Linked DNA regions of Ovis aries. The protein of the gene in region 4 interacts with the protein of the main gene of each other region in a pairwise test. Links are inferred from orthologs where the notes say so. Each region holds a gene or a part of one and is shown on either strand. Other genes may lie near its edges. The genes, in order: MIEF2, LNX1, ACSF2, AGTRAP, RMDN2, UBE2I and MYG1.

The links.
Region 1: the proteins of AGTRAP (region 4) and MIEF2 interact in binary tests that used the Homo sapiens proteins (3 or more experiments, as listed by UniProt). The two-hybrid records come from large-scale screens. The link is inferred for Ovis aries from reciprocal best matches to the Homo sapiens genes AGTRAP and MIEF2.
Region 2: the proteins of AGTRAP (region 4) and LNX1 interact in binary tests that used the Homo sapiens proteins (3 or more experiments, as listed by UniProt). The two-hybrid records come from large-scale screens. The link is inferred for Ovis aries from reciprocal best matches to the Homo sapiens genes AGTRAP and LNX1.
Region 3: the proteins of AGTRAP (region 4) and ACSF2 interact in binary tests that used the Homo sapiens proteins (3 or more experiments, as listed by UniProt). The two-hybrid records come from large-scale screens. The link is inferred for Ovis aries from reciprocal best matches to the Homo sapiens genes AGTRAP and ACSF2.
Region 5: the proteins of AGTRAP (region 4) and RMDN2 interact in binary tests that used the Homo sapiens proteins (3 or more experiments, as listed by UniProt). The two-hybrid records come from large-scale screens. The link is inferred for Ovis aries from reciprocal best matches to the Homo sapiens genes AGTRAP and RMDN2.
Region 6: the proteins of AGTRAP (region 4) and UBE2I interact in a two-hybrid assay, tested with the Homo sapiens proteins (2 studies listed by BioGRID and IntAct). The two-hybrid records come from large-scale screens. The link is inferred for Ovis aries from reciprocal best matches to the Homo sapiens genes AGTRAP and UBE2I.
Region 7: the proteins of AGTRAP (region 4) and MYG1 interact in binary tests that used the Homo sapiens proteins (3 or more experiments, as listed by UniProt). The two-hybrid records come from large-scale screens. The link is inferred for Ovis aries from reciprocal best matches to the Homo sapiens genes AGTRAP and MYG1.

Annotation. Positions count from the first base shown.
Region 1 is NC_056064.1:34,132,896-34,137,158, reverse strand, and holds the start of MIEF2 (mitochondrial dynamics protein MID49), read left to right. Parts: upstream 1-1,463; 5' UTR 1,464-1,568; intron 1,569-1,774; coding exon of another isoform or gene 1,775-1,837; exon of another isoform or gene 1,838-1,865; intron 1,866-2,576; exon of another isoform or gene 2,577-2,652; intron 2,653-4,185; 5' UTR 4,186-4,196; coding exon 4,197-4,263. Other genes in the region: FLII (protein flightless-1 homolog), read right to left, coding at 154-264, 1,775-1,837. UniProt on the Homo sapiens protein: Mitochondrial outer membrane protein involved in the regulation of mitochondrial organization.
Region 2 is NC_056059.1:69,720,114-69,723,613, forward strand, and holds part of LNX1 (E3 ubiquitin-protein ligase LNX), read right to left. Parts: exon of another isoform or gene 3,467-3,500; intron 3,370-3,466; exon of another isoform or gene 3,287-3,369; coding exon 3,134-3,286; intron 1-3,133.
Region 3 is NC_056064.1:35,974,818-35,978,317, reverse strand, and holds part of ACSF2 (medium-chain acyl-CoA ligase ACSF2, mitochondrial), read left to right. Parts: intron 1-1,311; coding exon 1,312-1,419; intron 1,420-2,597; coding exon 2,598-2,749; intron 2,750-3,500. UniProt on the Homo sapiens protein: Acyl-CoA synthases catalyze the initial reaction in fatty acid metabolism, by forming a thioester with CoA. Has some preference toward medium-chain substrates. Plays a role in adipocyte differentiation.
Region 4 is NC_056065.1:41,204,312-41,208,390, reverse strand, and holds the start of AGTRAP (type-1 angiotensin II receptor-associated protein), read left to right. Parts: upstream 1-1,279; 5' UTR 1,280-1,354; coding exon 1,355-1,489; exon of another isoform or gene 1,490-1,510; coding exon of another isoform or gene 1,511-1,537; intron 1,538-4,079. UniProt on the Homo sapiens protein: Appears to be a negative regulator of type-1 angiotensin II receptor-mediated signaling by regulating receptor internalization as well as mechanism of receptor desensitization such as phosphorylation.
Region 5 is NC_056056.1:86,123,972-86,127,471, reverse strand, and holds part of RMDN2 (regulator of microtubule dynamics protein 2), read left to right. Parts: intron 1-633; coding exon 634-736; intron 737-2,789; coding exon 2,790-2,850; intron 2,851-3,500.
Region 6 is NC_056077.1:1,565,832-1,569,995, reverse strand, and holds the start of UBE2I (SUMO-conjugating enzyme UBC9), read right to left. Parts: upstream 2,801-4,164; 5' UTR 2,687-2,800; intron 2,323-2,686; exon of another isoform or gene 2,083-2,322; intron 1,860-2,082; exon of another isoform or gene 1,779-1,859; intron 1-1,778. UniProt on the Homo sapiens protein: Accepts the ubiquitin-like proteins SUMO1, SUMO2, SUMO3, SUMO4 and SUMO1P1/SUMO5 from the UBLE1A-UBLE1B E1 complex and catalyzes their covalent attachment to other proteins with the help of an E3 ligase such as RANBP2, CBX4 and ZNF451.
Region 7 is NC_056056.1:133,200,041-133,204,098, reverse strand, and holds the start of MYG1 (MYG1 exonuclease), read left to right. Parts: upstream 1-1,258; 5' UTR 1,259-1,292; coding exon 1,293-1,508; intron 1,509-1,688; coding exon 1,689-1,801; intron 1,802-4,058. Other genes in the region: PFDN5 (prefoldin subunit 5), read left to right, coding at 461-537. UniProt on the Homo sapiens protein: 3'-5' RNA exonuclease which cleaves in situ on specific transcripts in both nucleus and mitochondrion. Involved in regulating spatially segregated organellar RNA processing, acts as a coordinator of nucleo-mitochondrial crosstalk.

The DNA.
Region 1 (4,263 bases), on a different chromosome or scaffold from region 4:
CACACACCTAGTCTTCTTGCATACCTCCCAGGACAGGGTGCTCATCCTCTCTCCACCAGTTCTGCTTGTGACAGGCAATGTCCTGCACAGGCTCTGTCCACCTGGCTAGCCCCATCCACCTGGACCCTCCCCTTCCTGTCCAAAGCTTCTTACCAGCTTCTGCAGGGAGGCCAACTCCTCTGGCAGGTAGCAAAGGCCGGTGCGGTTTAGCTTCAGCCATCGCAGGCTGGTCATGGCCTTGACGTTCTCAGGGAAGTAGCCACCCTGCGGGTACGTCACAGTGAGGCTGGTCTGGGACATGGTACCCTTGCTCTGCCACCTTGTGGCCCCCACTGTCTGTGGGAGCCTTTGGGGGCAATAGTCATTTCTAGTTGTGTGTGTGACCCCAGACACATCACTTGGCCACTCTGTCTCAGTTTTCTCACCCGTAGAATAGGGCTGATGAAAGCCCCCTGATGACAAAAGCGTCCTGAGAACCCACTGGTGATTAGGATGGCTGCTGACCTAAGCCCCGCCTCTCCTGCTGGCTTCTTGGCCCAGGAAGGCTTATTCTAGATGCCACCCCAGAGTCAGCTGTGAGGTCGGATCAACTCAATGTTTTTGCCTTGCATCCAGGCCCTGCCTGTGCAATTTGTTGAACTGCACTTTGTGCCTCTGCCAAGGCCCCACCTGTGCCCTGCCACCCACCCCCTGCATGAGGCCCCAGCTCCCCACCCTTTCCCACACAGGCATAGCTTATTCATTAGTTCACTCACCCATTCGTCCCCCAGACTCAAATGCCCACCTCAGGACCCCAGCCCCGTGGCCAGAAACCTGGGGAGGTTAATGCCTTCAGTGCTCTGGGCTAGTGCCCCTTCTCCCTACGGCCACATTCCCTGCTGGTGACTCACTCTCCTAGACTGAAGAGGACACTTGGGGACTCCAGGTGAGGACGGTGGGGATGGAGGCAGAGGAGTGTGCACGGTGGCAAGTGTGGGTAAATACAGGAAGAAAGGGCCTGTCTCCTCTGCCCTGACCCCAGCCACTGCCTGGACCACTGGACCCTGCAGACCCAGGCTGATGCTCCACTGACGCCAGCCAGGGTCAGCCCACTCATCCACCCTGAGGACCCTCCTGGAACCAGGCCATCTCTCAGGGCCTCCTCTCTGGTCACCAGCCCTCCGGCCTCACTCTCAGTTCTCAAGAACCACTGTCCCGCCCCGAGGCTGGGCTGGTGTTCCCAGCCGCCCTGGTCCGCCAGTTCGGAAGCTGCTCAGACAAATGGCACCCAGGGCCTCGCCCACCTGCCCAACACGTCCTCCACAACTAATCCCCGCCTCCAGGGGTTTCAAGGTAAGCCTCTCCACCAGACGAGAAGACGAGGCTCCGAGAGGGGAAGTGACTTGCCTAAGACCACACAGGATGGGGGTGGCGGGTGCGGGTAGCGCAGAGCCGGCGGCGTAACCATGAGTCAGGGCCCGGCTTGGGCTGTGACCTCACAGGGGCGGGGAGGGCTGGGGAGGCGCGAGCTCGAGCTCCGACCGGGACCCCCGGCCGGCCTGCTGGGGCCAGGCGCCAGGACCCAGCCGGTGAGCAGACCCCGCGCGCCCCTGCGCAGCTCCGGGACCCTACGCGCGCCCGCCCGCCCCGCCCGGCCTGGGCTGTCTTCGCGGGCGCCGGGCGGAGGCCTGGGACGTTGGGCCGGGGCGGGGTCCGGGCAAGCCCGTCCGCGGTCCCGGGCGCGCAGGAAGCGGAGGGGCGGGCTGGGGGTCCCGGCCGTCGCCCAGAGGCTCACCTTGAAGTCGTTGCCGCTGAGGTCCACGCCGCGCACGAACGGCAGCACCCCGGTGCCCTCCATGGCGGCGCTGGGCTGAGGGGAGAGGACCGCGGGCGGGGCCCGGCGCTCGGGGCGGGGACCGCGGAGCCGGCGGGGCGGGGAGCGCGTCGGCCCCGCCTCTCAGCCCGGGGCCGCTCGGGGCCAGCCCTGGGGCGCGGGGCCTCGAGGAGCGCTGTGTCCCGGTGCCCTAAAGGGCCTTCTCGGCCCCCGGCTGTTCCTGAGCTGGTCAACGCCGGGGACCTGGGTGGTTCGGGCGGCAGTGGCAGTAGGACGCCCGGGTCCTCGTCCGGAGCCACGAGCCTCCGGGAGACGCTCCGGGGCCAGTGCCCACACTCTTATGCGTCCTGGGTCGGAGGCCAGCCCGGGTGCGCGGTTACGTGCCCGCTTGCCCCTCGAGGGAGGCCTCCCTGGGCCGGCACATAGCGGTCCCAGTAAGTGACAGGACCAGTATACCCTTCACGGGAGAGGCGGCCGCAGACTACAGTGACCAGGAGCCCCACCGGATGCTTCCTTTGCCAGGAAGGAGCTCACGTTCCCACCTGCCGAGTCCTGGAGCGTGGCCCTGCGCCTTTAAGGCGGAGCTTGCCGAGGAGCCACGCCCCGAGGGGCGCTCGGCCGCCATTGGCCGAGGCCGCCTCAGGGCGGCACGTGGGCACTGGCCTTGAGCGCTCTGATTGGAGTCGGGGCCTGTCCGTCTGCGAGCCTGGGGCCCGTGCCCGCCCCAGGCCTTGGCGTTCGACTCCCGGGTCCTGCACGTTCCATTCCCAGGCGGCCCCGGGGCGCGGCCCGAGCGGCCCCCTGAGTCCCCTGGCTGGGGCGCCGAAGCCGCGACGCAGGTACGGCCGGGGCACGGGGCGTGGCCTCTATCGGCCGCGCGGTTCCGGCCGGGAGAGAACCGGCTCGAGCCGAGTTCTGGTCGCTTCTTGGGCCCATCCTGGCGTTCCCCGGGCCTCGGTGTCCTCGCGGCCGGGGCTTGGAGGAGGCTAGGGGAGGCGTGGCCTTTCCCTCTCCCCTTCCCTGGTTAGGGTCTGCGGGCCCCAGGTCAGACAGGCAGGGGCTTTGAGCGCTTTACAGTTTGGAGGCGGTTGGCAGTCCTGATGAAGGAAGCCGCCGCCGGGCCATGCTGGGTCAACCCCCTCCGCTGTCTTTCCTATTTTTAGCTTGGGAAAGGGGGATGGGTGCGGGGCTGCAGGCCCCACTTGGCAACCGGGCTCCGGCACCCGGTTCTGGGAGCAGGGCAGCCAGAAGTCATTGGGGCTGAGTTGGCTCTGAGCTCAGCGTCATCTGTTCAGGCATCCTCAGGGTGACAGTTCTGCCTGGCCATCTGACTGGTCCCTTGGGCTTGTCCCTTGGTCACACACCCCCCTCAGTGCTCAGGGCCTGAGAGCTGGGGCTCAGCCTGCAGGGCCTGGCAAAGATGCCTGAGGTCCCAGCCATCTGTACTTCTGGGTTCTGCATGTCTAATGGTTTCTCGTGGCACCTGCTCCATCTTACAGACAAGCTAAGAGTATCTGGCACACTCAGGCCCTCAGCTCACCTGCTGTGGCCTGGGCTCTCAGCAGCTGAGACCCCTCCCCACCCACTGTTGTCCCGAGTCTTAGAGGCCCTTGTCCAGGGCACTGGACCAGCCCTGTTGTGGTTTTTAGAGTCCCCTTACACCCTGTCCCCACAGTGGAGCCTTCAGCCTTGTCTGACACATACCTGTTGACAGCCAGCGCTTGCCCCCAGGGCATCCTGGGGCATCTCACTTGTCCTGTTCTCTGACTTGGTGGCCCTGCCTCTGGGGGCTGCCCTGCTGAGATTTGGGGGTAACTGTGGCCCCCTGAACTTCGCTGAGGTTCCCTCAAAGGCCTGAGGCTGTCCAGTGCAGGCTGCCTGGGTCCCCAAGCCATGGTCTTCTCTGGGCCTTGTTTTTCTCCTGCAGGGCCTGGTTAGGAACCAGGATAAGGCTGCTTCTGGGACCTGGTCATAGGGTGGGTCTGAGTCCCCACCACTCATTGTGTGGTCCGCAACCTATTTCTTTGTAAATGGGGATGGTGCTGATAAGACCCACCTCATGGTCTTTAGTGACATTAGGGGGCCTGGAAGGTGGGATCAGGGAGATTGTCTCCCTTCTCTGACCTCGCCATGGGTCTTAGGGTCTTTCTCTGTGAGCCCCTTGTCATACAGGTGGGTTGTTTGTAGGTTTTGGTTGGGGGAGGTCTCTGGGCCAGCTCCCAGTCTCCTCCCAAGAAAACCTGCAGGTGGCCCCTTTCTCATCGGAAATTCTCTGGAAGCCCCCTTGTGACCCCAACTCTGACCATAGAGCACCTGCTGGATGCCAGGCCGGCCCCTCACTGAGTGGCCCCTGCACCCTGGCTCCCTTACAGGCAGACTGACCATGGCGGAGTTCTCCCAGAATAGGAGCAAGCGGCGTGACGGCGAGGTGCTGGGAGGCGCTGTAGACT
Region 2 (3,500 bases), on a different chromosome or scaffold from region 4:
GGCAAGAGAAAACTTTATGTGGAATATAATTAAGGAGGCTTTTGCTTTTGAACTGTGGTGTTGGAGAAGACTCTTTTTTTTTTTTTAATTTTAATATCTTTAATTCTTACATGCGTTCCCAAACATGAACCCCCCTCCCACCTCCCTCCCCATAACATCTTCCTGGGTCATCCCCATGCACCAGCCCCAAGCATGCTGCATCCTGCGTCAGACATAGACTGGCGATTCAATTCTTACATGATAGTATACATGTTAGAATGTCATTCTCCCAAATCATCCCACCCTCTCCCTCTACCTCTGAGTCCAAAAGTCTGTTATACACATCTGTGTCTCTTTCCCTGTCTTGCATACAGGGTCGTCATTGCCATCTTCCTAAATTCCATATATATGTGTTAGTATACTGTATTGGTGTTTTTCTTTCTGGCTTACTTCACTCTGTATAATCGGCTCCAGTTTCATCCATCTCATCAGAACTGATTCAAATGAATTCTTTTTTACGGCTGAGTAATACTCCATTGTGTATATGTACCACAGCTTTCTTATCCATTCATCTGCTGATGGACATCTAGGTTGTTTCCATGTCCTGGCTATTATAAACAGTGCTGCGATGAACATTGGGGTACATGTGTCTCTTTCAATTCTGGTTTCCTCGGTGTGTATGCCCAGCAGTGGGATTGCTGGGTCATAAGATAGTTCTATTTGCAATTTTTTAAGGAATCTCCACACTGTTCTCCATAGTGGCTGTACTAGTTTGCATTCCCACCAACAGTGTAGGAGGGTTCCCTTTTCTCCACACCCTCTCCAGCATTTATTGCTTGCAGATTTTTGGATCGCAGCCATTCTGACTGGTGTGAAGTGGTACCTCATTGTGGTTTTGATTTGCATTTCTCTAATAATGAGTGATGTTGAGCATCTTTTCATGTGTTTGGAGAAGACTCTTGAGAGTCCCTTGGACTGCAAGGAGATCCAACCAGTCCATTCTGAAGGAGATCAGCCCTGGGATTTCTTTGGAAGGAATGATGCTAAAGCTGAAACTCCAGTACTTTGGCCACCTCATGCAAAGAGCTGACTCATTGGCAAAGACTCTGATGCTGGGAGGGATTGGGGGCAGGAGGAGAAGGGGACGACAGAGGATGAGATGGCTGGATGGCATCACTTACTCGATGGACATGAGTTTGAGTGAACTCTGGGAGTTGGTGATGGACAGGGAGGCCTGGCATGCTGCGATTCATGGGGTTGCAAAGGGTCAGACACGACTGAGCGACTGAACTGAACTGAACTGAATAAGCTGGAAGACTGGCAGAAAGGAAGTTATGATCCTTTTAGTCATTGCAGAAACATTCGGTGAAAACTATTATGTACTAGATACTGTGCTTGGCCTTGAGAACACAAAGACTTAGATAAAGAACCCCTGCCCTCACTGGTAGAGTTACAATAAAAGATGACATTGCTATAACAGAGATGCAGGTGCTTTGAGAACACAAAGGAGAGAGGACTGGGGGAGTCAAGGAGGGCTCCCAGGAGGAGGCAAAGCCTAAAGAGAAATTAGGATGCCAGCTGAAGGCAAGTGAGAGTACAGGTTGGACAGCAACATGGAAGTGAGAGAAAGACAGTATTTACACGATGGCAGACTCCAGCGTTCTTGCCTGGAGAATCCCAGGGATGGGGAGCCTGGTGGGCTGCCATCTATGGGGTTGCACAGAGTCGGACACGACTGAAGCGACTTAGCAGCAGCAGCAGCAGTGAGAGTACTGAGAGCATGTAGTACAGGTACAGGGTAAGAGAGGTAAGAAGGAGCTTATACAACTGCTCAAAGTTCTCTGAGAACATGATAAAGACAGAGGTTTGGGGTTTAGCCACCAGCCTTGAGGGGGCTTCCCTGGTAGCTCAGATGGAAAAGAATCTGCCTGCAATGCAGGAGACCCAGGTTTGATCCCTGGGTTGGGAAGATCCTATGGAGAAGGGAATGGCAACCCACTCCAGTATTCTTGCCTGGAGAATTCCATGGACAGAGGAGCCTGGGGGGCTACAGTCCATGGGGTCTCAAAGAGTCGGACATGACTGAGCAACTAACACTTTCACTCCCCAACCTTGAAGGAGCAGAGGGCAGTTTAATCCAGTGAGTAAACGAGTGGGCTCTGGAGCCAGAGGACACAAATTAAAATCCCAGGACTGCCATTTTCCAGCTGGGTGACTTTGGGCTAGTTACCCAGTCTCTCTAAACCTTGGTTTCTTCTTCTGTAAACTGGGAATCACAGTCCCCATCTCTTATCATTGTGACCTTTAAATGCCTTAGAGCACTGCCTGGCACCCAGGAAAGCTCAAAAGCATTCTTTCAGTTATTATCATTACTGCTGTGAAGCTCTAGCGTAAGATGAAAAGGAAAGGACAGGACAGTATTTTCTCAGCTCCATTTATAGTGAAAAAAAGATATAGAATCTAAGATCCAGAAACGTTATTTGCGTGAATTTTAGAGCCACATTACTTGGATTCCAAGTTCAGAAGGGGCAAACTAAGTAATTGCCTGGTACCTTAGTTTCCTCATCTATAAAACAGGGATGATAATTGTAGCTCCCTCATAGAGTTGTTGAAGAGTACATGAATTAATACATAGAAAACCCTCAGAATCACACATCACACAAGGTGGAGATAAGAATACTCATATGGCATTTCCTGTGTGCCAGGCACTGTTCTAACTGCTCTTCACTTAACTATATTATTCTTTATATACACTAAGCTAAGACCTGAAGGTAAGGGTTCCAAAATCTTTTCCCTCAATCTATGTAAAAAGAGAACAGTAGGGACTTTCCTAATAGCCCAGTTGTTGGGAATCTGCCTTCCAATGCAAGGGATATGGGTTTGAGCCCTGGTTCAGGAACTAAGATCCATGCCAAACTAGAGAAGCCGGTGAGCCGCAACAAGCACCCAATGTAGCCAGAAAAAAAAAAAAAAAAAAAAGGAAAAGTAATTTTTGCCTTTGGTTACTTATATAAGTAGAGTAATCAAGGTAAAAAATATTTATGCCCTTAGGAAGACAGGTGTCGTAGAAAGTAAGGGCTAGTCCTGTGGTCATCACCCCTGGCGTCATTCTAGAAGCCCAGGCCACGCCCAGCCTCATGGGGAAGCAACTTACCATCAAGGACAGTGGTGTTTTCAGAATCCTCTCGTCCCTGGTCAGCTTGGCTGACAACGGTACTTCCACTCTTTGTCCTTCGGAGAACACTCAAGGCTCGGTTTATTTTTTTAAAGGATCTGCTTCTGATGGTGGATCGCTCAAAGGGCCGTGCTGAAGACAAGAGAGAAAAAGGTCTTTTTAATGGACACGGCTGGCAAGATACACAACAGACTGCAAACGGTGATTACTTCGAGGTAGCAGGATGATACAATTTGCTTATCTGTATGTTCTCAGTTTTCTACAATGAAATATGGACGGTTTATTTAAAATCTGCTTGTCATTTTTTCCTAGGCTGGATGGAATATAACAGCACTTTTCTCGAGTT
Region 3 (3,500 bases), on a different chromosome or scaffold from region 4:
TCCACATCTCCTCATACCCACCCCACCCTGCGGTGGTCAGGACCCTTTGTGGGGGGTGGTTCTCTCAGGGGGGTGGCCAGAGTGGCGCCAAGGTGTACTTGGCAGAAGCCACCCCTGGGCAGTGGCCCCAGGACTGTAAGGGTGGGTGAGAGGGCTGGGTCCCGACAGCTCAGGCTTCACGACCCCAGGTCCTGCGGGCTGGCCTACCCCGGCCAACTGGGTCTCTGTGTGTCTCCTTGAGCCACGATGGAAACAGGAGGGTGGGCAGGAAGAGTCACAGCTCTGGCCCCAAGGCAAGCTCTGGGCTGACTGGTAGGAGTTCTTGTCTGTGTTGGGGGGTGAGAGGAGGAACCAGACCCCAAGTCTTGCCAGACCCCAGCTATGCGTGATTCATGCCCGCTAACACAGAGGAAATTGAGGGTAGGGTAGGGCTGCGGGACGAACAGAGGTCTGGTGTATTTGCTGGCTGGAAGGAACCTAACCAGCCCCTCTCCCTTCATCCAGCACTCAGGTGCGGAAGCCTGCCGTCTCCTAAGCCCCTTTCAGCCGTTGCCTCTGGATGGGGGTCATACTTGGGCCAGAACACTGTCTTGTGGTATTCCTCCAAGGCTGACTGCTGGTTTTCTGTTGCTCAGGATGTTCCAACCACTAGAAGGGGGGCTAGGGTGTGTGCCACTGGCTTTGTAAACCCTTGCGTTGGCTGTATTTTTATTTTGAGCAAAACAAATTTACAGGAAACTTTCCAGAATTTGAAGGGGGGGGGCACCCTACCCCAAGACCAGGCATTTATCCTGGGTTTCGAGTGGATGGGGCAGGGTAGGGGTAGGTGGCTGGTATCTGTGTAGCTCCCATCTGGGCCAAGGCGGGCTGGCTTTCTCATCAAATTTATGGATTCTTCAGCTTGGAAAGAAGGGGCAGGGGATGCTATAGCCTGAAATCAGGAAGGGGGTGTTAAGACAGCCTGAGGATGGGGTGGGGAAGCTGAGATGTTGGTAACTGGGAGCCACAGGCTAAACCATGTGGTTGCTGCAAGCAACCGGGAAGAGTGAGAGCCTGGCTGGAAGAGAATGGCTTCCCTGGTCTCAATTTTATTTCAGACCTGGGCCCCCTGCTAGCTGAGCTAGTCTGATTCTATATCCAGTGCCTTTGCCTCCTGACCCCTGACCTCTGCCAAATATGCCTCTTTTCCCACTGTTCAACTGCTTCCATCCCCCACAACCCACTCCCCACCCCAGGTCCTTCCCTCAAAGTAACTTCCCCATCCTTCTGCTCCCCAGGCTCTGTTCCAAACACCCTTTCTGGCTCCTCTAGGTGGCTTATGGAACCACAGAGAACAGCCCCGTGACCTTCATGAACTTCACCGAGGACACTGTGGAGCAGAAGGCAGAAAGTGTGGGCAGAGTCATGCCTCACACAGAGGTGGGCCCCAGACACCCCCCCTCCCACCACTCACCTGGGTGCGGCCCCTGGGACATTTATTGCTTTCAAATAAGAGATCCAAACAGCTCACTCCAGACACTGAGAGCCCCCAGCCACGAGGTCTTCCTGGGCCTGGCCTGGGGCTTTCTCTGTGGGCTGAGGCCTGAACTGGGAAGAGCTGGAACAGTGGCCAGCTGCCAGCTGAACTTCTCTGCAGCCTCCCTTCCTGTCTGAGGTGTGTTTTTGCCAAGCCCACTGTCTGTTTTGGGGCAGCCAGAACAGCCTCATAGAGGAGCCAGAGCACAGAGATTTTTCCTACACAGCTCTTTCTCTCCCATAGCCTTCTCCCCCCCACCTCCAACCTCATTTCAGCAGATTTCCTCTTTGTGCTTGGCATAAACAGTTTCCCAAATAGCTTCTCCCTCTGGGAGTCCCTTGCATCTTGAAGACTGACCCAGAGCACCTTTCACTCTCAAATTCCCAGCCTACAGTGCTGGTGCTTATGCCAGCATTCCTTGTTTCCCCTCCCGCCTTGGACCTTGCCCCTCTGGGATTACTGCCAGTGTGCTTCCCCTCGGGCCAACCTCTCTCCTCCCTAAAGTGAGTGTGCACTGACACCAGTCCCTCCCATGTGTCACTCACTGAGAGGCCCGCCTGTGAGGCAGACAGGCTGGGTGCGGTTCTCCCCATTTCACAGATGCAGACACGAGGCACAGGCGCTAAGCTTTCCTTGCCCAACAGTTATGGCTCATTTCTCAACCAGGCTTTCAGATTCTGCCTGTCTGCCGCCTCTCCTGTTCACGTGGCCCTGCTCTGCCACCCTCTTTGGCTTCTTTATTTACTGCTTAGTGGGAAGTAAGAGGAGACTCCCTTCCTTCTGCACAGTTTATAATTCTTTAGCTGGCCTGGCCCCCCTTCTGGCCTCCTTCTCTGAGCAGCTCCCACCCACTCTGTTTCCTCAGCACCTCCTGACTTGGGCCTCAGCTGTTCTTTCATGTCCAGCTCAGGTACCCAACTGGTGAAAGATCTACTCAGCCTGCGTCTCCATTCCTTGGGGATGGGCAGAGCCAGGGGGCTTCATTATAGGGGGAAAGAAGGCAAAGCTCTCCCCATTCCTGAGGCCCCTCATCCTGAAGTGAGAGGGTGGGAGGCCCCAGCCTGAAGCTGCCTGGTCCCAGGCCCAGATTGTGAACATGGAGACGGGGACGCTGACAGAGCTGCACACACCTGGAGAGCTGTGCATCCGAGGGTACTGCGTCATGCTGGGCTACTGGGGTGAGCCCCGGAAGACCGAGGAAGCAATTGGACAGGACAAGTGGTACCGGACGGGGTGAGAAGGCAGGGCAGGGTGGAGCGGTTGGCTGCCAAGGGGAAGCTGGGGGTCCTGAGGCTGAGTTGGGAACACTGAACTAGAACTGGGAGAACCAGTTGTCAAGATAGCCCCTTCACATCTCGGAGACTTAGTTTCAAAAATGTATAAAATGAGGATGATCATATTCTCCAAATAGGGCTCCTGGAAGGACCAAACACAGTACAGATGAGAACTCCTAGGGTAGTGCCTGCAAAATCTGAGCCTAGATTCAGGCAGTCATTTAATTCAACAAATTCTAATTATGCACCCGCCATGTGCTAGTACTGTTCTAAACACTGGTGGTCCAGGGGAAAGCAAAGGGGAGGATCCTGCTATTACTTCCCACATGTCTGATGGAGGGAGACAGATACAGTCAAGATCATTTCCTACATTCATAAACACAACTAATAAGACAGGATCACAGGAGAGAGAGTGGCTGTGGTGGAGAAGGGAGATTCTTTTCTCTTTGGTGATCAGAGGAGGCTTCTCTCAGGTGGAAATGTTTGGGCTGAAACCTGAATGGTAAGAAGCCAGCCCCAAAAGGTGTATGCATAGATATGTCTAGAGAGAGAGCAAGAGAGAGAGAAATATGCTATAGGTATGGGTTTACTTAGTTTGGTCTGCCTTCTATGTGAGATAGTTCCTCCCGTATGATCCAGGTAATGTCTTGTTTGTGACATATGTCCCAGAGTCTAGAGTCGCGTAAGACATACAGTAGGTGTTTCCTAAG
Region 4 (4,079 bases):
GGTTTATAGGAGACATCTCTTAGAAGGAAACAATAATGTTATAATATCCACTAGTTACTGAGGAATTCCTCTTTTCTAGGTACTATGCCAGTAACAATAATTTATGATAATTAACTAATAATGAATATCAAAACAGTAGCAAGTCCTGATCAAGGGCTGTCTGCCAGGCAATGTTCTAAACATTTTTACATATTAACAAATCCTTATTAACAAATTCAAAATAACCATCCTTCAAGGAAGATACTATTATTTCTCTCATTTTACGGATCAGAAAACTGAAGCACAGAGAGGCAAAGTGACTTGCTCAAGTAGAACCAGTAAGTGGACAAAGTTAGGACTCAAACTCTTTTCTCTGGTCCAGCTAGTCCTCTGGGCTCTGAATCCCAACAATCGTGCCCAGTGTAGCTATCTGTCCGGTCTCTGAAGCTTACCAGCTCTCTGTTACTCTGGCAGATGTGCTATTCTGCTCAGGGGGCTGGACAGCTGTGTCTCCAAAAGGGACATTCAAATAGGCCAGCGGACTCCGCGACCTTGCAGAAGACCCCACTGCTGCTGCTGCTAAGGCGCCTCAGTCGTGTCCGACTCTCTGCAACCCCATAGACGGCAGCCCGCCAGGCTCCCCCGTCCCTGCGATTCTCCAGGCAAGAACACTGCAGTGGGTTGCCATTTCCTTCTCCAATGCATAAAAGTGAAAAGTGAAAGTGAAGTCGCTCAGTCGTGTCAGACTCCACACCCACCTGGAAAACTCCGCTCTTTGTATCTAGAGTCTGTATCTTGATAGGATCTTAGGACCCACCCAGCCAGTCTTTCAGGTTTCCACGTGGTCTCTCCCCTCCTGGAAATAAGAATAAGCACTCAGCGGGACAGACCCAAGGGGATCCCAACAGTCTTGAATAAGTCTTCCTTACCTTTAAAGTAAGTGTCAGTATTTTTTCTTCAAACATGAATTAGTTCATTCATCCTCAGAAGGATTCTATGAGGTAGGTAACCGTCTTCACTTTCACTGGGGAAGGAGGGAGGAGAGACTGTGCCCTCAGGGATGAGACACCAGCTGTTACCACATCTGCAGATTGTACTTGGAGGTTCCCCCAAGTTCTCCTGGCTGCAGGTGGTCCCGTCAGCCCACCTGCTGGGATTTTAACTCGGCGAGATATTGCGCCCTTTGCGACACAAATCTGGATATTCTCCAGCCGCCCGCCACCCCGCCCCCGCCCCCGCCCCCGGCCCCGCCCCCGCCCCGGCCCCGGCCCGCCCCCGCCCCCGTCCCCGGCCCCGCCCCGTAACTACCTGGGCAGTGGCGCAGTGAAGGCTCAAGCAGCACGACGCCGTCTCCTAGATACCGGGCCGTCGTCACATGACCTACTCACGTGACCCCCCCCCCACAGCCCAGCTGGGGTTGGAGCTCTGGCAAAGGGCAGCCGGCGGGGCGGGGCTGGGCAAGTTTGTTTCCCGAGTTCGGAGACCAGGAGCCCCCGCGGTTGTGGCGCAGGTGCTGTCCGGTTGGGTCGCGATGGAGCTGCCAGCCGTGAACCTGAAGGTGGCGATGGGCGGGGCGGGTCTCCCGGAGCGTGTTGGGTATTTGCGCTTTTAGTAGGTGATTTTAGAGGTGAGGATTTTAGAGGTAGAGGACCGAGAATCTGGGGAAAGTGGAGTGGTGGGGAGAAAGAGAACGAACAGAGCCCAGGTGTAAGGAGGTGGGCGGACAGACCATACCAGGAAGACAGATCCAGAAGGCCAGCAGGAAAGACCGAGAGGGAGCTGGAGGAGGGAAGCAGCCGTCTCTTCCCTAAGACCGGTTCAGCTGGGAGCGCTGAGCCCCTGAGGCTCGCTTTGGCCTGCGCGCCCAGAATTTCTCTGGAGAAAGAGGAGAGCGTGGTGGGGAGGGACCCAAGGAGAGCCCGAGGCTGGACTTGGAGGCAGGACACCTGCCTTCCACCGAGAGAGGGGTAAAGCTTTCACCTGGACCCCCAACACTGCCCTTACCGCCTCTCTTGTTGGGAAGATCAAGTTAAGGAAATCAAATGATCCCAGACAGATGGTTTTTCAGAGTTGATAGATTCAACGTCTTTATTTCTTAAGCAACACAGACACCAATAGAATTTACTCAAAAGCAGAATCCCCCAACTTTGCACATTTAGGAAAACACTGTAGGTCGCTGGGGTGTCTTCATTTCCTGAGCTGTAAGAATGCCAAAGGCTGTTCTTCTTTTTCTCCCCGCCCTCCTCCAGCCCAGTGTTTCTTGGCTGGGTTTGCCACTGAGAGGCTGAAGCCTTTAGCTTTGGTCAGAAAGGTTTTAGCCTTGGACCAGACCTGCCATCTGCGGCCTAGGTACAGTTTCCTTTGAGATTGTATGCAGGAGTACCCTCTTATTCACCCTTGACAAAGCATTATGCACCCATGGTGTCTGGTCCTAAAGTAAGAGATAGATGACTACAGAACAATACATCATCCATATTTGGATTATTAGACATGGTCTGTGTTGTGACTTCACGTGGGCACATTTCCTTAATATTGAACACTTGCTTCAGCAGACCTCTCCGAGGCTTCCAGTCAACTGCTGCAGGGGGAGAGATGGCTGTGACAAGGGAATGGGCTTGGATTGAAGGTTTAGCAGGGAAGAAATTTACACGAGGGCAACTGAGGTTCATTGGTATCAACATTCACTCTGTTCCAGGCTGTGTGCAGTTAATGCCGACTACCTTTTCTCTGATTAGAGACTTGCCTAAAATAATTATTAAGGGGGAAGGAGGAAAGGGACAGAGGAGCAGGAACTGACGAGGGAGTGAGCCCTAATTCTTAGGGCGTCTGTGGTGTGCCGGGTTATTTATTTAGTCGTATCAACCTTCTGAGATTTTTGTAGCTGAGCCAACTTCAGCTCAGACCAGATAGGTAACTTGTCAAGGCCCCACAGAGATTAAGTGGCAGAGTCAGAATTTGAACCCATCACGGTCAGACTTCAAAGCTCTGTCTTTTCCTGGCCACCATTAGTTAGGGCCAACTTCTGCTTTGACAGTTAGTGCCCAGTGGGAGGGCTTAGTCTGTTTGTGGCTTTTTTTTTTTTTTTTTTTGGAGAAACTTTGTGGGCCTCACAGGCCACACGTGACCACAGATGTGAGCTTTGCCGGCTTTCACTGCCCACAGTGAAATAGCTGGTCCTTTCTTTGACTTGGGAAATAAAACACCATATCTCTAAGGGTCTTAGCTGCTACCAATCAGAGACAAGTAAGTGCTGAGAGGTCGTGAACAGCTAGGGTTGCCAGGTGACATTGAGGACATCCAGTTGAGTTTGAATTTCATATCAACAATGAATAACTTTTTAATCTAAGTATGAAAAGTGAAAGTCATTCAGTCGTGTCCAACTCTTTGTGACCCCAGGGACTGTACAGTCCATGGAATTCTCCAGGCCAGAATACTGGAGTGGGTAGCCTTTCCCTTCTGCAGGGGATCTTCCCAACCTAGGGATCGAACCTAGATCTCCCACATTGCAGGAGGATTCTTTACAGCTGAGCCACCAGGGAAGCCCCAGGATACTGGAGTGGGTTATCCTATCCCTTCTCCAGTGGACCTTATATCCCAGGCAATATTTGGAACAGTCTAGAAAATTATTCATTATCTGAAATTAAAGATTAACTAGGGGTTCTGTTTTTGTTGTTGTTTTTTCTGGCCTCCCACAGGAGTCTAAGTGGGCTATTCTGAGATCAGAACCCCTTGGGAGCTCAGAAAATGCCCAACCCCCCAACCCTGCACTACCCTTGCCCTCCTTTCACACATTCCTGGGGTATTGGCTCAGTGCCTGCTTGTGCCCAGCCCACCCACAGTAGGCAGTGGTGCCAGGTGAACAGAAGCAGCTGCCCCGGGCCCTCCAGGTAGTTCCTAACCCAATGCCACACATGAGGCAAGTCCTGAGCTGAAGGAACGTCATTGTGAGAGTTTAGAAAGTTCTAGACTTGGGTTCATGAGGGCTTGTGAGAAAAGGCCCTTGGGAGGAGGGTGCAGGGGGTTAGTATAGCATGAGGGTTAAGAATTCCGGAACCTGACTGCACAATAGTCAGGGACTGCCTTGTCTCGGGGCTTCCCAG
Region 5 (3,500 bases), on a different chromosome or scaffold from region 4:
TTTTCAGTGTTTAGTGTTGGACTGAATTGACAAAGCTCATCCTTCCCACCACCACCACCACCACCACCACCACCACCAAAGGGGAAGAAAGGATTTTGCAATATCACAAAGATCCATAAATCTTCTTTCCCATGAGAAATTTAAGGCTAACTTTTGAGGATATAGAAACTCTAAATACATGAACTCAAAAGTTTTTAAATCTCTAGCATTGTTCTTTAGGTAATTTAGGTAAAAAAAAATGTGACTGCTGTTTTGAATATATGTAATCTCTAATAACTTACAGATATTATGTGAAATGCCCATTGAGGCATCATATTGACAGTAGTTAAGTTAGAAAGGAAAGCAAGGAGAGGATACTACCACCCAGAGAGAATTCATAAATTCTAACACTTAGTTTTCTCTTCTTCATAGGTGCGGAACTGGTGTCTGCATAATATTCATTGGTTTCTAAGACCCAAATGTAACACTACACTAGATCACACTTTATAGCCATGAATATTTCAATTTAAAGTGTGATATGCACATGAATGCAGTCATTTCTAAGTACCAGTTTACCTACCTAATTTTTTTAAAAGGTTGCAGTGGTATAGTCACATTACTAAGTTTATCTAATGGGCAGTTCTGTGTGTTCAGTTTAGAGATGAAATAGAGTTTATTTGGCGGTTTGCTCGTGCTTATGGAGACATGTATGAGCTATCTACAAATACACAAGAAAAGAAGCATTATGCTAATATTGGTAAGTATTTTGTGAATATTAATTATTCTCAGGTAGTAATCATTATAGTAAACACAAATGAATTTTTAGATAAAAGTATATGGTCTTTAAAAATATTTGAGTATATTAAAATAGGCAACTGAAAAACTCAAATTCCAGCTTTCAAAATTTATAAAATCGTAGAAAGATGATACATTAAGTGGTTATAATTTGAAAAGCAATAATAATAGTAGTCTTTCACCAAAATTAAAATAACCCTTCTTACTTCCTATAACATAGAACTCCAGGTATCACAAAGAAATAACTACTCAGACTTTAATGTTTTTTCAAAATTCATCTCAGTAAAACAAGATAAGCCTTGAGTTGACAATTGTTTAAGCAGAGTGATGAGTCCATGATTGTTCATTATATCATCCTGTTTTCTAAAGTAACAACAAAAGAATAACAGCCAGAATGCTAAATGATCTGACAAGATCAGTACAGAGAAAGGCAATTGTAATTCAGTGCACAGGTAATAAGTGCCTGGCAGAGAAGCAGGAAATTGGAGACTGGAGTTGAAGGGCATGGGCACTCAGTATGAAGGAGGAAGAGTTTGCCGACTCTTGCTCCTCCTGACAGTATATTTGAACTTGTTATGTGGAGGGAAGATTGGATCCCTGGAGAGTATAAAATTCTTTCCTAACCTGCTAACTGTGGTGTCCCATTTTTGCAGTACATCTGTTGAAGTCCTATGACTGATCACACTTGTCTTGCAAATCAAATATGAATCATATCTAAAAGAACATATTTGTAACTTTCAAGATTAGATGATGGACACAAATAGACCACAAAATAAAAATTTTTTTACGGGAAATAGGTTTCTTTTCAGGCTGAAGCGGCATCAGTGAGGGTACAAAACCAGTATGTATACTACCTGGCTCCCTTTTATATTCTCAGAGCGATGGAATTGCCTCTATTTTAGGCAGTGCCCTCAAAGCTATTTTTGTTCACTTGGTAATGTAGGTAAGATGTTGATGTAGTTTTAATGTTTATACATTAAAAATATTTATGTTTTTCAAGCACTCATTATCAAATTATTAACTCTTCTAATATATGCCCACAATGTAATATCAGTTGTCATTTTAAGAGACTGCTTTTTAATTTTTTTCCAATTTGTGTAGATTTCTACACTGCGTGGTTCTCTTAATGGAGAGAGCTATAGAATACCACCTTAACAAACAGGAGAATGATTTTAGAATAAAAGATCTTTATTTATAAAGATTATCTAAACTACTTATTTAGAAGAGCATTTTTCAAATCATTGGATCACAACATTGCTCTTCAAGCAAAAGAAAAAGAGCAGAGAAAAGGAGAGTGTATGAAATAAAACAGCAGCTTTTTGAGAAAGATTTTGAGAATGTGGTTTAGACAAACCTCTATCCAGAAATTAACAGATTATTAAAAGTTATTCTAAAATGAAGTTAAATTATTTAGGGGAATTATTTATGCACTGAGTGTGTTCACTATCATGAATGGTTAGATAAGAGCTTCTCTGGGACACCTTCCCTTACTCCTTTAGATAGAGTTGCTCTCTCCATTCTCTGCTATGCTCTTTTTAACCTTTATCTTTATACATAATTTCTTTGTTTATATACCTGCTGCCTACTGAACAATGAATTCTTAGAGGTCAAGAATTGTGTTTTATTTGACTTTTTATTCCCAGGGGCTCACACAATGACATTTAGAAAGTACTCAGTAAATGTTGGTTGAGTTAATTATAAAGCAGTATCTATTAATAATGATCGAATGACTTTTGCATTTGGTTAAATCACTTAGTCCAATGAGTCTACACTTGAATTTGTATCAGAAATAAAGGCCATTAACCCGCTAAAGGCCAGTTAATGCAGATAGCTGTCTCAGAGGTTATGATCGAGTAAGTCTTCTATGTGGCCCCAAATTTGCTTTTATAACAAGATTCTAGGTAATGACTTCTGGTATTAGGACCATACTTTTGGGAACTACTGGCTTAATTCAATAATTTACCTCCTACCAACTCACATGAAGGTACCAAACTGTAAGTACATTTATCTTTCAGGAAAGACATTAGGTGAAAAAGCTATTATGAGAGCACCCAAGAATGGATATTGTCATCTATGGTAAGTACATAAAATTTATGCAATAATTGTTCTGTTTATTCTCATGTATTTTTCAGTATGTATATTTTAAATGTTTTTAAGATAAACTTTCATTGAATATTTCATAACTGAATCTACCAAGTCCAATAACTTTGAATATGATAAATTCGAATTAAATTATATTTGTATAAGATTTTGTTTGGAAACAAATGCTAAAATGATGCCATGTTTCTAAATGTAGGGAGAATGCTTCAAAGAATAAAAGCACATCAGCCATTATACCTTGATGACAAGGTATACACACTCCATAAGTGAAAGAAAAGCCATTTCTAATATAAGAAAACTCAAACAAAGGAAATTTAATTAGTTGGATGGTTGTAGGTGGGTATCCTTGGGACAAGAAATTTATTCTTGAGAGTATTGTTTTGTTTTGGATCCTTTGTATATTTAGAATTATAAAACACAAGAATAAATGTATTGTTTTTAATGAATATTTCATTTTACTCACAGTTGCATTTTTGCAACATTTCTCAGTTCCTTAATTATTTTTTTTCCCCAGCAATATAGATATGTTAGGTGCTAGTAATAAATTTATCTATGACCCTTCTCTCAGACCTAGGTTTTCAGAAATCCACACCTCTTTGGGATTATTTTATTATTCAGAGATGCTT
Region 6 (4,164 bases), on a different chromosome or scaffold from region 4:
CAACACAAGGGAAAGCGAGCGTGAAACTCTAGCTCCCACGCAGGAGGCCTGGTGACAGGAGCTGCTGCCCGGCTCTGACCACTGAGGACACTCTTCAAAGGCTCTAACCCTGCCCAACCTCAAGATCAAGTCCCAAGCAAGAAGGCCCACACCCCAAAGAGAATTTCTCTTTGCCACCCCCGAACCTCCAGTCCTGGCCCGCTCACCTCCTCCTCATCTGTGGACCTGATGGACAGGACCCTGTCTGGGGTCTCCTTCCCTACACGTGCACACCCATCTGGTATTTTCATTCATTCATGTGATATAAGTTGAAGACCACAAGTGCGGCTGCCCGAAGGCTGACGTGGGCGTGCTGGTGCCCCTGGGTCCTAGTGGTGGTTGCTGGCCACCTGGGCACTGCCTGCAGCACCAGACTGTCCACAAACAGGACAGAGTGGGAGATGCTGGGGTCACTTCCCTCAGGTGGGGAGCTGGCAGAGCAGAGGGGAGTGCCAAGCAGCTTTCAAGTCCATGGGAACATGAGGGCAGTAATCCTGAAGCCTGAAAACCCTTCACTTCACATCACCCTTCTAAACAGAACTTGCCCCCGCCTCATCACCAGGGCAGATGGGAACGCCTCTCCCTCCCCTGGTGGGGGCTTAGGGATGTGCGGAAATCCTACAGGAGCCCCTCACGGGCCAGGACCACCTCTAAACTGTCCCACACGGGAGCTCAGTGGCAGAGACAAGCAGCCTGGCTCTCCGTGCACTGTGAAGTTCCTGCTGAGTCTGCGCTCAGCAAGGCTTCAAGACTGGTTCCTGGAGCCTGGGCAGCACATGGGTTCTGGAATGGGCAAGCTGGCACTCGAGGGCTCTGGAGCGGCATGGCTAGGCCAGGATGTAGAAAAGGCCGGTGGGGTGATCCTCAGTGCCGCATGCCTGCTGACCGCATGCCAGGACCCCGCCACAGGCCACCTCTTCTACTGACAAGGAACAAAGCCGCCTCAGCAGACCCTGTTGGGGCGCCAGCTGTGACTGTCTCAGGTGCAGAAAGTAATGGGAGGGGTGTCCCACAAGAGCTGCTGCAACCCCGTCCTTGGGGGTGAGAACCAAACTGGGCACCTGAAAGACAGATGCTGCAGCCATGGCGGAGTCACAGGCGCACACCTGCCCCCGCCCAGAGAGAGGCTGGCCTCGCTGCCCAGGAGAAAGCAGCCAATTTGCTACATTTTAATTACAACACGGAACCACTCCTTCAGCATCCCACTTAGAATCCAATCAGCTTTTCCCAACTGACAGGGAGGCACTTAAGGAGCTGTTAAGTGTGCGCAGTCTTCAGGGCAGCAAAATCACTAAGAGGCAAAGATCGGGTATCTATGACCTGCTAGAGACAGCCTGAAGCACAGGATCCGGGTCTGGGGCAGACCCTTGAAGTCTGCAGCCACCCTTCTCCAGCGTGGGCTGTGCTTGAACCCACGCTTCTCAGATCAATCTCTGAAGCCACTTACCGGCTGCAGGTGAGGGCCAACGGCTTCCCTCTTCCCCTTCAACCTTCTCACCGGTAAAACGGGCGATAGCACTGTGAGCCCAGAGGTCGGCCCAGGATGAAACCGATAGAGGCTCGCGGCCCTTGGTGGGCTTTCCCACCCAAACGTAAGCTCGCCAGGAGAAGGAAGGCACTGGCTTCACCTGCGCTCAGGAGATCCTCCAGCCCAGGGGCACTTCCCTGGTCTTTCCTGACACGCCTCCCAGGACGCCCAGCTGTTTCCAAAGCAAGCCCAAACCCCCAGCGAGACTCACGTGCAGCACGATGCAGAATTCACCCCCAACCCACCCAAAATCAAGTCAGCACAAACGTGGGCTCCTTCTCCCCCTGCTGCTGGGCAGGTTCTCCGTCCAAAGGCAGTTTCCTTGGGAGCAAGAAACACAGAGGACCACGGGCTTAAGAGCAGACCAACGAAAGCCAACTCCGCAAACCGGGGAGAAACTGCCAACGGAGCTTGTTTTCAAATCGTACAAACCAAACCAGTTACTTCTGTGATTCAAGGACAGCTGCTGGCCGTTACCATCAGCCCAGCTAATCATTCCCTCGCCTTCCTCTTACTCGCGAAAACTATCAGCTCCAGCCGCCGTGCAATTGGTATAAAGCGGTCTTGGGACGAGATCTCCCCGTCAAGGGAAGAGCGAACACTCGGTGGGTCCCCCGCAACGGCGAGCGGAGCTCGGAGGCGCAAGAGCTCTGGCTTGTTTTCGTTTCCAGGCATCACACGCCACCCCCAAACGCGCCGGCGCTCCTGCAGCGCGCGGCTTTGCACTCTTTGTGCAGCGCGTCCTCTACCAGGCTGGAACGCGCCACAGGTTCGCGCGCAGACCGTGACCCCGGAAACGCTCCGCCTGAGCGGAGGGCTTGGCGCTCCTGTCAGCGCGGCCCGAGCCGAGCGCGCCGTCGGCCGCCCCGGACGCGACTCGCCCCGAGCGCGCGCCCGGAGAAGACGCCCCCACCTCGCGGGCCGAGGCCGCGGCGGGCCGGGGGCCGGGCTACCCGAAGGGAGCCCGGCGGGCTGGCCCCCGCCGCGGCGTCAGCAGCCCGGGGCGGGCCGGTCCCCGGGAACGGGCCGGGCCGCGCGCGGAGGGCGCCTGCCCGGCCGGACCCGCCGGCAGCGGAGTTTTGGGCCCCCGCGGCCCGGCGCCCGCCCCGCGGCGCTCACCTCGGGCGGCCCGGCCCGGCGAGCGAGGCGTACTAGGCGGCGGCGGCGGCGGCTGCGCTCCCTTTGTCTCGGGACTTCCCTCCCGAGCCCGCTCCGCGCGCAGCCCGAGCGCTCGAGGACCCCGGCGCGGGCGGGGCGGGGCGGGGCCTGCGGGGCCTGCCCGCCGCGCGCCTGGCTCGCACCCCGCCGCCGCCACCGCCAGCCCCGCGCCGCCCGCGCCGCCGAGCGCCGCCCGCTGCCCGTGTCCCGCCGCCGCGCGCCCGCGCCCCGGGCCCCGCTCGGGAGCCCGGCCCGGAGGCGGCTTTCCAGTCAGGCGGCGCCATGGACACCTGCGTCCTTAAAGGGGCCGCGTCCCGGGTGTGAGGGAGCGTCTGCAAACTCCCCTTCGCGGGGCACTGTTCCTCGCGAGGACCGGCCGGGTAGCGGCGGGGAAGCAGGGCGGCCGAGATCTCCCCGGGCTCTCCGGATGCCCCGCGGGCACCTCCCCAGGCAGCGGTCCCGGAGGTCTCCTCGAGGCTAGGGCCCGGGGCGGAGGAGCAACGACCACTGAGGCCTAGGGATCCCCCAAGCGTCGCAGCACGGTGACAATCTCTCGCCTACGGCATGCTGTGAAACCCCTTGCGATTGGCCAACTCGGGGCCCTGGGCGGGGCATCCGTCTAATGTGCCCAATGAGCAGGCCCCGTACACAAGACCAAGTGCGGGCCCGACCGACGGGAGGAGAAGTGCAGACGCTCCCTAACCCAGGGGCTGGCCTGGGGGGAGGGGCGCCGGGTGGTCCGGGCGGGTGGGGGAGGAGCAGGGGCAGGGCTAGGCCCCTGTGGCCGGGGTCTCAGGTCCGCCCCGAACCCACGCGCGAACGCTTGTCCTTCCCGGCCACGCTGGGCGCCTCTCCGTCTAGCGGCCCCCGACCCCCGTCCCCTGGCCCAGAGTGGGAAAGAGGGAGCGTTCCAAGGTCAGCCCCTCCGCCCGTGGGCTCTTTGGGGTCAAGTGGCGGGAGGTGACCGCCCCCCCACCCCGGCCCCCAGCTTGCATTCATTCACCCCTTCGCCCTGGGTCTCCTCCTTCCTCCGTTTCCTTCCATCCTCCCCACCCTCACCCCCGGCAGCCCCCTATTTGGCACTGTACTGAGACTATTGGCCTCCAGGGCAGACCGCCCAGCACCGCCCCCCCCCCCCCCGCCCCCGCAAGGCTAGTGTCCCAAGGCCCACGTCTGGGCCAGAGCTCTCAGCAGGTGTTCAGCGCTCCCAGCCCGTCTGTTACAGTGAGGATGGTCACTAGCCCTGAGAAGGCCCCGGGCTGGGCGTGGGGTTGAGGTGGGGGCGTCTCCTGAGGCTGGTAGCTCCGCTGGGCTGGGGAGGTAGTCTGCCTAGGGTGCCTCTGGGTCAGCTGTGGCCCAGAGGGCCTGGTTATAGTGCCTGGGGTCCCGGGTAAGGGCCCAGACCCCCTGAGCAGCAGGTGAGCATTCCAGGTCTCTCT
Region 7 (4,058 bases), on a different chromosome or scaffold from region 4:
CAAACATCTTTTCCACATTATTAATTTCTGGGTATATGTGACTCATTTGAAACTGTATTTTGTTCGTTTTTATATCCCAGTGGTTCTCATATTATTCTCATATGAGCTTCCCTGGTGGTTCAGACAGTAAAGAATCCACCTGCAATACGGGAGACCTGGGTTGGGAAGAGCCTTTGAGGAAGGAAATGGCAACCCACTCCAATATTCTTGCCTAGAGAATCCCCATGGACAGAGGAGCCGCTCTGTCCATGGGGTCTCCAAGAGTCAGACATGACTGAGTGACTTTCACATCTCATATTATTGACAATTTAGATTCTAAATTGGTGTTGTGTTTGCCCTCTACAGTGAATCTCTGTGTTGAAAGTTAAATAACTGTAGTAGTCTACCTGTCAATTTTCCTTAACTCTGAGCTCTCCCCTTTAGCTCCTGCCCAGGGTCTGACTCTTCTTTTATTCCACAGCTGTCATGGAGATGATGAGCCAGAAGATTCAGCAGCTCACAACCCTGGGAGCAGCTCAGGCTACCGCTAAGGCCTGAGAGCTTGTTTCAGAAATGGGGCAGAGGGTGCCTGCTTCCGGGGCCTGGGACTTTGTGGATGTGGTTTCCCGGATTGGGGAAAGAAGAGGGTCTGTGTTTAATGCTAATAAATGAGCCAACTGGGCAGAGTGGTGGTCTTTTCTTGCATTAGGCAAGGGACTAGTGAGGAGGTGGGAGGGCGGTGTTAAGAGGGTGTGCCCCTGCCCAGAACCTGATAAGCAGGAGTGATGCAGTGCTCATCTTGGGGGTTTCACTTGGGAATCTGTGAGGAACTAGAGTCAAAATTCAATGCTGGTGATACAGGATGCCCAGGGCTGGTGCACTTCGATGACCCAGAGGGATGGTATGGGGAGGGGGATTCAGGATGGGGAACACGTGTACACCCGTGGCAGATTCATGTTGATGTATGGCAAAACCAATACAATATTGTAGAGTAATTAGCCTCCAATTAAATTAAAAATAAGTGAACTGTGGTATAGAAATTTGAGAAGATGGGAAATGCCATCAAAATGCCATACTTCAAGGTATGATCTCTCAGCATTGTTTTTAATGCAACTTTGGGCACCAGGTAGCAAAGCAGTGGTCCAGCCCTGGGTAAAATAAAAGCAATAATAATTTTTAAAAATTCAATGCTGGGTGGCAGGCCCTCTGCGCGGCCCGTTGCCATAGGAACAGCTGGCAACCGGAAGTGGGCTTGCGCAGGCGCTTCCCCTTCCGGGTCGGCGCTCTTACTAACTCCTCGTGGAGGAAGCTGCATGGGCCGCCGCTTCCTGCGCGGTTTCCTCCCTCTGCTGTTGCCGCCGCCACCGCTCCGGAGCCCGCATCTCAAGCTCAGCCTGGAGCCTGTCCCACCTTCCAAACGACCCCGCAGCCACCTCATGGCCCCGCCCCGAATCGGGACGCACAACGGCACCTTCCACTGCGATGAGGCGCTGGCGTGCGCGTTGCTGCGCCTCCTGCCGGAGTACCGGGTAGGTACAGGCCGCGCGAACTGACCCGGGGGATGCCGCCAAATCTCCGGGGTGGACCGCGTCCTCCTAGAGGTGTCCCGCCCGAGCACCCTTCTCCCCTCCTCTGCTCCTTGGAAGCCCGACATTAATCCCCTACCCGTGCGACCCTGGCAACCCCCTCACCTCCTGTGTCTCCTGCAGGATGCAGAGATCGTGCGGACCCGAGACCCCGAGAAACTGGCTGCTTGTGACATCGTGGTAGACGTGGGTGGCGAGTACGACCCTCAGAGACACCGATATGACCATCACCAGAGGTGAGGACTCACTACCATTCCTTTAATTTTCTCAGTGCCCCAGGCCACTGCCGTGGTTCTTGTCAGCGAAGGGAACCGCCTCATGTTGAATCCCATGGGACTGCTGTCTCCCATGCTTCCAGTGCTCCACCTACTCTGCACCCATCTAGGTGGCTTTGTGCTTCGCTGAGCCCTCGCGTCTGCCGTGGCGTCCCTTGGTCACCCCGGGGGCCCTTCCCGATTCACTTCCTTCTTTGGCTCCGCCAGGCTTTTCTCCCAGCAGCCTTATCTTTACCTCACTGAATACCCCAGCAGAGATTAATCCATTCCTGTGCCCTTGCTGCCCTACCTCAGGCTGCTGGGCCCACGTGATTGTGGCAGGTGGTGAGTGTGTGCTGTCTTCTACGTCATTGACACTCTACCCCTGGGAGATCGTTCTGGCCGAGAGGCCAGAATCCCCAGTACCTCTCCAATCCTTTTCCCTCGCCTCAAGCCCCTACCTCATCAAACTTTCTCAGTGAGTGATCCTGTCTCTCTTCTTTCAAAAGAAATTGAGCTTTTCCTGCGGGTACTTCCTCAGTTTCTCCCTCCTGAATCAACTCCCTCTTTCCAATTCAGGAAACCGTTCTGTTTGCCCCTTTTCCAGTGTATCACTTCCTGCTCTGGGACTCTATATCAGCGTTTCTACTTCTTATCTGAAGAAAGAAACTCTGTTTACGCATCTCCTGTCTTGAAAACAAAGGACTGAAAAAAACCCATAACCCCCTCCCGCACATACACCTCGCTGTTTAAAATGGTTATCTCTGGGGTATCATGAGGGTATTTGAAGTCTGTTTCTCTCTTTCTCTCTCTCCTTCCCTCCCTGTCTTTCTCTTCTTTAAGTATACATATTACTTTTCATAGTGATGTGGAGAGGGAATGCTCCCAGTGTATACAACCTAATCTCACCCTCACTTCTCAGGCATTCTTCAAAAGAAGAGCTGACCCTGGCTCCACATTTCTTTCAGTTCATTGCTTCTATCCATCCTATCATTCATTCAGCCGGGTCTTTTCCAATCTCTCTACCGGAAATGCTGGTGGAAAGGGCACCAGTGACCTCAATGCCAGACTCAGGTTGCTGGTTGAGGGTTAACTGACTGACCTGTCACCTTAACCCTCTCACCTTAACTGCCTTCTTTGTGGCACTTGATGTAATTGACTGCGTCCTTTTTCTGGTAATTTTATATACTTAAAAAAAATTTGTGCCATTTTTGACATGTAAAACAATATATTTAATATTTCTGGAATATAAAATGAACACCCAAGAACTGATCTCCCAGCTGAAGAAATAGACCATTATCTTAGCACCTGTACCTGTGTGCCTCTTCCCCATCCCAACCCCACCTCCCCAAGAGTAAGCAACATCCTGAGTTTTGTGTTCATCATGTCCTTGCTTGCTCTTGTGTACAGTTTAGCACTTATGTCTTATCTGTTTGCATCAACTATTTATTTAGTTTTGCTTCTTCCTGAATCTTTTCTGGGACATTATTTTTATTAGTCTTTATACCTTATGAGTATTTTATAGGTACTTTTGTGTTTACTTAATAAATATTTAATAATAAAAGTCATTAGAACGAAAAAATGAGCTTCCTTGGTGATACCACTGGACTGGTATTTAGAAATTAGAGCTGTGGTTTCTACTGTTCTAACAACTATCATACCATTTCCGTGCCCTCTGTCCCAAGGCTGTTCAAGTCCCTGCCTTCCTCACTCACCCGGCACATTGCAGGTGATCTTGGATTTCTTCTCCATGCTGGCTGGCACAACGCACTTTCTGACACGCTCCGGCCTGCTTAAAGTCTCTCAGTGGCTCCTCCTTACCTACAGATAAACTTCAAACTCTGAAGTGTAGCATTCAAGGCCTGCCCTGGTCCAACTCCTGCTTTATCTTTTGCCTCTCATTCCTCATCCCAAGCTGCTTTCTTGCAGATCCATGGATACCTCTCTCTTAGGCATTATACATGTTGTTCCCGCTACTTGGAATGCCTTTTCTCCTTCCCCCTTTATGTGTCTGGCACACACCCACTAATTCATCTTCCAAGAATGACCTGAAGGTTCTTCTCCTAAGTGCTTTCCTCTCCTGAGCCCTTGTTTATAACCAGCTGGAGCATTCCTTTGGTTGCTCATGTGAGTGTGCGTGGGGGCTGTGTGTGGCCATGTGTCCCTGTCCGTGTGCCTTAGGAAGATAAACTTGAAGGCAGGGACAGAGTCTTAGTTTTTTTCATCTCTGATGTTTACA